Linked DNA regions of Cricetulus griseus. The protein of the gene in region 2 interacts with the protein of the main gene of each other region in a biochemical or structural test. Links are inferred from orthologs where the notes say so. Each region holds a gene or a part of one and is shown on either strand. Other genes may lie near its edges. The genes, in order: Sema4a and Plxnd1.

The links.
Region 1: the proteins of Plxnd1 (region 2) and Sema4a form a complex in vitro, tested with the Homo sapiens proteins (2 studies listed by IntAct, with this or other methods). The link is inferred for Cricetulus griseus from reciprocal best matches to the Homo sapiens genes PLXND1 and SEMA4A.

Annotation. Positions count from the first base shown.
Region 1 is NW_023276806.1:66,051,312-66,055,740, reverse strand, and holds the start of Sema4a (semaphorin-4A), read right to left. Parts: upstream 2,833-4,429; 5' UTR 2,537-2,832; coding exon 2,398-2,536; intron 856-2,397; coding exon 695-855; intron 1-694. UniProt on the Homo sapiens protein: Cell surface receptor for PLXNB1, PLXNB2, PLXNB3 and PLXND1 that plays an important role in cell-cell signaling. Regulates glutamatergic and GABAergic synapse development.
Region 2 is NC_048601.1:28,898,699-28,902,506, reverse strand, and holds part of Plxnd1 (plexin-D1), read right to left. Parts: intron 3,751-3,808; coding exon 3,611-3,750; intron 3,345-3,610; coding exon 3,177-3,344; intron 3,096-3,176; coding exon 3,005-3,095; intron 2,868-3,004; coding exon 2,610-2,867; intron 2,524-2,609; coding exon 2,374-2,523; intron 1,797-2,373; coding exon 1,682-1,796; intron 174-1,681; coding exon 66-173; intron 1-65. UniProt on the Homo sapiens protein: Cell surface receptor for SEMA4A and for class 3 semaphorins, such as SEMA3A, SEMA3C and SEMA3E. Plays an important role in cell-cell signaling, and in regulating the migration of a wide spectrum of cell types.

The DNA.
Region 1 (4,429 bases), on a different chromosome or scaffold from region 2:
TTCATCAGGACGTGGCTCTGTGGTAGAACCAGATGGATCTGAGTTCAAATCTAGGCTCTGCCACCAGCGGACTGTGCACTCTGACTCAGTTTCACAGCCTGCTGGTGGTTGCAGCTTGATGGATGGCGTGTGTAAGCGTCTGGCATACACAGCAGTGGTTATAACCCACACATTTCCTGGGGGAGGCTGTCAGCTCTTGAGCCACCCCTGAGAGAAGCTGCATAGGAGGGGTGCAGACATCAAACTTAGGGCCTGCCACCCTCTAGACAAAGTGCCCTGCCACTGAACTACATTCCTAGTCCAAGCAAGACTCTGGAATTTAGCCCATACCCCACATGTGCAGATAGCCAAGAGACCTCCCACTAAGAATCCATGAGCCATGCCTTCCTTCTCTTTCCCTCACATTGCTAGCATTAGGGAGATGATAGCACAAGAATCAAGGATTTCTCTCATAGGTAGGTGAACATCAAATTATTTGAGTCACTGATTTGAGTCAATGTTTTTCTCCTATGCCACTGATTTCCGTATCAGCCATTTCAGCAGCCGATTCTACTCAATCGGCATTCATGGCCTCCATAAACAGTGAGAGCACAACGGCTTTCCATCCTGACACTGCTGATAGGAAGCGCTGCACTGGTCCCAGGCAGTAGCTGTCCTCACTTCCAGTCAGACCCTTTGTGTCTGGCCTCCTCACCATGTTCCTCAGCCTGGGGATTCCTGGGTTCTGGATATTTAGGGCCAGGATGGCCTCTCGAGCCCCGACATAGAGGGTGTTGCCATCGGCGCTGAGGAGCAGCGTATCAAAGTCTCGGAGGCCTTTTTGGTGGAAGAAGCTGAGGGCTCTGTGCCCATCTCCTGTTGAGAGGCAGTGATAAGGAGAGGATGAGGAGGAACCGTGCACAGCCGCTGATTCCTGAGACAAGGTCGGGGAGGGGTGGCAGGCCTCGGCAGCTGGACCTGCTCTTATGCCCGAAGCCCCCTTTTCCTGAACCCCCAGGAGCTTTGTGTGTTGAGTCCCCACAAGAGAGAAAAGTGCCAAAGACAAGGTAGTGACAGCCTGGGGCTGGTGGAGGTGGGGGTGGGGGGAGTCTGCTCAAGACCCAGGCAGGAAATGAAGTAAGGTTCGGAGATACATTCGCAGGCCTGGGGGCGCTGCAGGGAGACAGGGTGGGAGAGAACACTGACAGGTAGACACAGGAAAGAGTTCTCAACCACAAGCAGCCGAGATAGATGTCTTTTGCTTCAAGATTTGTCACAGTTCAGAGTCCCACCACCTCCCTTCCCCTGTTTCCTCCCCTTGCTCTGTTACAGGAATCTCCCTAGCAATGCTGTGACTGGAAAGGCCATGGCCTCTCCCTATCGGAGCCCTGTCAGTGTGGGCATGCCTGAATGCCACCTGGACAGGCTAAGTATGTTGGTTACTAGGGCCCACTCCCTACCTAGTGTGGTGGTGTGTGTGCACTCAGACACGAGCTCCTGCACATCAGCCAGGAGTGAGCGCTTCAGACCCTCCCTCGTCAGCACGTTTGGACTTTTGTGTCAGTCAGAGGACAGCCTGGTTGTTACCATTTTGGCCTCAAGGAATCTTAGGACCAAGAGGAATTGGAAGACCAAATGTTTCGGCATGGTGTGGGATGCCCTGCCCTGAACTCTGTGCTCCCCACGGTGAGGCTTCATCCTGGCTTCCCCTTGAGGCCCAGTCTTGGTAGTGTTTGCACTCCCATCCCACAGGGGGATGCCTCTTTCCACTGAACCTACACATCCTTTGCCATTCTGCCTCAGAAGGCTGCTAAGCTGGTGAACAGAACTGCCTAGCTTCTGCGCTGGTGGTGTTCGGTGTGTGTGTGTGTGTGTGTGTGTGTGTGTGTGTGTGTGTGTGTGTGTAGCACTTCCCTTGAGGCAATTTCCTAGAACAAGAGGGTTCAGAAGCCCCAGCAGAAAACCACTGAGGCTCAGCACCAAGCTCCAGCCCACTCCCAGGTGAGCTGTCCAGGGCGCCTTCCCCTGGTGCCCATCCTACTGGACACAATCTGGCCTGCTGTGATTTCTGCAGTTAGCTTGGAGTCACCAGCTCCGTGAACAATCTGTCATGGGCTTTGGCTTTGGGACAACTGGAACTTGTGAAAGCAGTCAGGAATTTAAGGTGTCCTGCTTGGTGACAGTGACACTTGACGAGGGAAAGAAAAATCACTGGCTTAGCGGAAGACGGGCAACGGTGGCCCTGTCTTCTCTTCCTAATCAATTTGTACCTTACTTGAATGGTCTCTCCTCCTCCCAGACCCTCCTGGGCATCTCTGTCCCTCCATTCCATTGCCCTCCCTCTGAAAGTCCCTTCTCCTTCCTTGACCCCCTCGTCTCTTCATTGACACCCAAACCTCCCAGTTACCAGACACTTACCTGCATGATATTTGACTCTGGGCATGGGCCCCTGCCCACCAGTCCCGGTAGCAGGTGGCAGTGACAGCAGCAGGAGCAGTTGGAAGAAAAAAACACCCAGGAGACTCCAGGGGTCCTGGCCCGGGGATGGTAGGGCCATGGTCAGACAGAGACTGTCACCAGATGGCTCTGGGGAAACAGGCACTTTCTGGGTAAGCAGTGCTTACCACACCCTTCCTGAGGGCCAATAGGAGAGCCCCAGGGGGACAGAAGTTCCTCTCTGGAAGGGCCCTCAGAGTCTCACTTCCATTCCACTCCTCGCAGTGATGTTGCCTCCCCTGCCCTCCAGGTAGGGACCCTGGTGTGACTCATGTTGTGCCCCTGGTCTCCTACTAAAAGACCACATTGTCATTTCTCACCTGACACACAGAAAAGTCCCTTTCTTCTCTTGCCCCTTAGCATCTCCTGCCCCCATGGTTCAGAGCCCTCATCACTCCTGGCCCTGGACAAAGGACTTCTGGGGAACGAGATCTTGTACTCAAAGGGTAGATTCCCCAGGCTGGCCTGTCACTCAGCTGTGCCTACACCTTGTGCCTGCTACTCACCCCAACCCTGGCAGGCAGCCTACTCTTTCCCCAGCCCCCAGGGACTCTGACTCTGGCTTAATAGGGCCTATCTAGCCTTCTTCTTCAGGGTAGGGGCATGCCAGGTTATCTACCAGCTTGGCTGACTGCATTTCTTGGGGTTGGCCTAGGCAGGAGTCACTGGCAGACTCCCAACCACTACGGCCTCCCTTGTCTCTGTGCCTCTGCTCTCTGTCTCCCTGGATCTCTGCAGCATCAACATCCCCGTGACTGCAGAGTGCAAGTTGCCCACCTCATCATCTCACATACCCTTGAGCCAGCCACACTGAGAAGTCCTGTGTTCAAACCCTGAAGCATCCAAGGCAAAGGAGGGGGTCCAGGCAAAGAAAGCAGGCTCAGCCCGGCTGGAATGGGAGCACGGCCCTCCAGGCACCCATCCTGCGAGAGCCAGTGTGGGTTCCAGGCCAGGGAAACCAGAATTTCTACCTCGAGTTGTGACAGATCCTGGCTTGGGCGGAAGTTGGTGAACAGTGGATCAGGGCGGGGAGATGGGGGGGGGGAGGCTCACAGGCTTTGTGGGAGACACACCTCCCTCCCTCCACTTAGTCTATCCAGAAATTAAGGGTTTCTTCTGAGCCACTTCAGTGATGTCCCTGTGTCTCTAGCACATCACTTCCATTCTAACCAGCCCAAGCTGCGGTCTCTCCTCTTGCTCAAGACAGCTCAGTATGACTCTGTCTTTCATATTCCTCTTTTTGCTGACTCTGTAGTGGGGTTCCCCCATTGCCACCTTCTGAGAAATAGCTACAGGGGCCTAACCTTCAAACCTCCCACATCCTTGAAAGATAAAACATTTAGAGCCAGGCATGGTGGCGCACACCTTTAATCTCAGCACTCAGGAAGCAGAGGCAGGTGGATCTCTGAGATCCAGGCCCACCTGGTCCACAATGTGAGTTCCAGGACAGCCAGGGCTGCACAGAGAAACAAACAAACAAATAAACAACAGCAAAAAGCCCACGTTTGTATAGGTTTGTGTCCCTGACTTCTCTGAGGGAGCTCCTGCAGTCTAACCTCTCGCACCCTTACCACAGCATCAGGCCAATGGGAAACTTGAGGAATTTCCCCTTTGAGCTCATGCTTCATAGGATGCATTTTGGAGCTGAGGCACCCAGCTGGAATGGTGACTGGTTCTTCCTCCCTAAAGGCTTCAGGGAAGACCTCATAACGCAGGGTTAATGAGGCACCAAGGGCTCCTAGGCCAATAAAGAGTGGTTGGGCTCCTGCCCACTCACCCAGGTCAGCTGACTTCAGGCTGAAGAGCACAATGACCCAGGTTGCTCTACCTCCAGTAAGTACCATCTCCATCCTAAACACATTTCTCACTGCCAGGATGGTCCTCTCTGGAGGACAACCTCCACCCTTCCAGTTACAGTAGAGCCCACTTGGTCTTGCCTTGATGCTTCTCCTGT
Region 2 (3,808 bases):
GCAGACCAGCAGCTGTGAGTGATCCTGCCCAGCCATGTGCAGCACCACCCGACCCTGGTACCCACCTTTGCGGATCTCCTCGCGGATCTGAGACTCCATCTCCTCCATCTGCAGCAGCGTCTTCTGCCAGTAGCGCTCGGCACGGCGGCTCTTGGTGCAGAAGACGAACAGGGCTGTGGGCAGCAGAGGGGCGGTTCAGGTCTCCAGGGTTCATGAAAAGGTGGGTACCTGCTGTATGCAGCTTGTGGGCCTGAAAGGACAGGTTCTACCCATGGGCCTTAGTGCCTCTGGGCAGGAGGCAAGCCCTTCTGCTCCTTGTCCCTCCCTGACAACACAGGGCTTGAGGTCCAGCCAGCAGGGTAACCCTTGAAGGAATGTGTCTAACAGCAGTCATCAGGGGCTTTCTCTGGGCAAAAGAATTTTCTGCCCTGATGTGCCTTGTGAGTTAAACTTTTCAAAGTGGTATGCAGTACCTGTTCTTCCTGGGAGGGATGAAGTATCCATTGATTATAGAAATCTTATGGATAGTATTTTTAGGAACAAAAAAAACATCCAGGGTGTTCATCTTCCTCCTGTTTTCCCTCATAGCTTTGACATAGTATTTAAAAACAAACCAACATGGGAGCTGGGGTGATGCCTTACTTGGTAAGGCACTTGTGCAAACAGGAGGACCCAGGCTTGAACCCCAGGACTCAGATAAAAAGCAGGGCATGGTGGCATGAGCCTGAAATTGAGGGCTGGGAAGGCAGAGAAAGGTAGCCGCCTGGGGCTCACTGGCCTGCAAGCCAGGTGAAGTCAGCGAGCTCCAGGTCCCAGTGAGAGATCCTGGCTCAAAATATAGGTGACAGCCGCTGAGGTACCACACCTCTGGCCTCCAAATACACACACAGACCATAATCCATCCATTTACAGGTCAGGGTGTTGGAGCTTACTCACATACCACATGACCATCAGCGTTATCCAATTTTACAACGTTCTTGCTGTCCAAGGGTTACCCTCACCCAGTAAGTGGTTGCTCCCCACTTCCTTCCTCTCCCGACAACCACTAATCATTGCCCTTCCTGGATACTTCAAGTAAAAAACAGTAGGGCAGTATGTAGCCTTTTGTGTCTATCTTTTTAATTTTCCATGTTTTCAAGGCCCATCCATGTTGTGGGAATGTATTGGCACTTCATTCCGTTTTTATGGTAGAAAACTCCATTGTATGGATAGACCTCATTTTAATTACCCACTTATCATTTGATGACCTCTTATTATAAGTAATATTGCTACAGACATCTGTGTACATGATTTTATGTAGACATGTTTTCCTTTCTCTTGTGTAGATTACTGGGCCATCTATGCCTAACAACTTTTAGGAACCGAAAGGCCATTTCCTAAGGAAAGTGTACCTTTGTCCCCCCAGCAGTGTATCGGGGCTTTGCTCTCTCTGCCACATTGCATACATTGCTTAAACACACAGGATCATCTCCCCTGAACAACCTCTCTCCAGAAGCCCCCAAATTCCTCCCCTTGCATCCAAAGCCAATGGCCTGAGCACAGAAGCTCCAACCAGTATCTGCCACTTTCTTCCTATCCCCAGCTCAGGATACCTGATTATTATACCCACACCTTACCCACTGCCACTCTCACAGGGATTCATATATACGCTCCTGACTCTCAAGAAGTGAAGGCTACTTACCAACCACAGAGAGTAGCAACAGGACACTGCAAATGACAATGGACACCACAATGGCCGTCTCGCTGCCTCCCAGTTGCAGTGTGGCAATGGTCTGGTTGAAGTTCCCCACCTGGATCTGTGCACAGAGTGGCAGGGGGTGACACAAAAGCCCTTGCTGGAGCCATGCCTCGGTTCTTCTCACAAGCTGCGTGCCCACAGGCACATGACCTGATCACTCTACCCCTCACAGACAGCCACAACCACCTCCTGATCAAACTGTGCCTGACAAACTGTGATCCAGGGTTTGGCAGAGAGACCGACTCAGTACAGGGTTGTGATGATGACAGCCTAGGAGGGGGGTCACAGGGAAGCTCATGGGGTCTGGCTGTTGTCCTGGGAACAGGTAAGGGGCGACTCAGCAGGAGGTATGAAGATGCAGAACAGAAAGCACCTCCCACCTCAGACTGTCTTTGCTCTTCTCCCTGATACTACACAATGACTACGCAGGCCACACTCTAGGTGGGACACCCAAACAAGCAGGAGCTACTTTTTAATAGCTTCTGGGGCTAATAACTTGGGTCTCAGTTTTCCCATCTGTCAAGGCAGGGTATAAAGTTCTGCTTTGCTGGCTTAAATTATTGAACATGGAAACACCTAGTGACTTCCGTACCCAGAAGCTGGGTCTGCCCACCTCCAGAGCCCCAACAACTCACAGTGATGGGCAGCTGCCCTTCAGCTGTGCCCAGAGACTCATTGACTGAGCAGTGGATAACTCTGTCTGAGACGATCTGGATGTCGCAGGACACCTGGCCAATCTTGATGTGGTACTCATGGCTCTCAAGACCGAGGCTGTCTTGCTCCTTCTGTGGGTGAGGATGGGATGCTGGGATGGGGGTGGAGTTCCCAGGTCAACTGCCCCCATTACCCATCCTCCCAGCCAGGTGCTCACATGGATGACAAGGGTGAGTGGCTCCCCTGGGTGATGTTTGATCCACTTCTCCCTCTTGGCTGTGGAGAACTGTGGGTTGGGGAGGTAGTCCAGACGGAACCGGCTGCCCCGCTGTGCCTCTGCAGGGTCCAGCAGCTCCTCAGCGGCATCGTCTGTATATGCCCGGCCATTGATGAAGAAGTCTACAAGTGCTGAAGCATTGCTCAGGGCTCCAGGAGATGGGCAGGTGATGAGCGTGGAGTTGAGAACCTTGCAGAGCTGCAAGGTTGGGGTAGGATGGACCCATGAGAGTGGAAAACGGGAGGATGCGGGTAAAGAGAGGGGGAGATGGCGAGGCCAAGCAGAGCAGACCACCTCACCCCCAACCCCTCACCCCATCCACCCTGTCCCCTCACCGTGGGCTCCCGGCCAATGTGGTGTACCGCCATTGACACATTCTGTACCATGTGGAAACGTTCACCAGCCACAGTGATGGTTCTGCCACCGCTGAGGGGACAGCAAGACTTGTCAGGCTCCCTTCAGCCTGGACAGTGAGACAGAGTAGGCATGGGTGGGTCTGGATCTCACCTGACAGGGCTGCGGCCTGGGCGGATGGCTGTGATGACTGGGTTCTGCATGTACCAGAAGGTGAGGTTTCCATGCACGCAGCCCCGGCTCTCAAAGCGCACACACACAGGCACTAGAGCCGGCAGGGTACCCCCAGGCACAGTGCAGGTGATGCTGGTGGCTGTGCGTCTATGGAGAGTGATGAGCCGATGACATGAGTGTGACCCTTTCCAGTTCTCACCCACCACAGGTGCCCCGGCCTTGTCTTCTGCCACTTCTGCCCAATTTCTTCTTCCCACTGCCACACGCTGCCTCGGGTTGTACCCAACTTGGACATATCTCCTTCCTTCCAACATCTACCCCAAGTCAAGAAGGGCCAGAGCAGGGCATACCCGGATGAGACCTATGGAGGGACTCGCCCACCTCCCAGCTGCCAGGCTGTGGGCGTGGCTTACATAAGGTCGGTGCAGGGGTCTGTGTCATTCACCAGGACCTGGAGCATAGAGCCCACGTGGAGGTCACTGCCGTGAATGGTGATCCTGGTGCCCCCTGCTTTTGGACCCAGGGCAGGCTCCAGGGAGTGGACCACGGGCAGCTGGGGAGAATAAAGGGGTTAGGCTCTGGCTTCAGGTTATAAGGAGTGAGCTGGATGG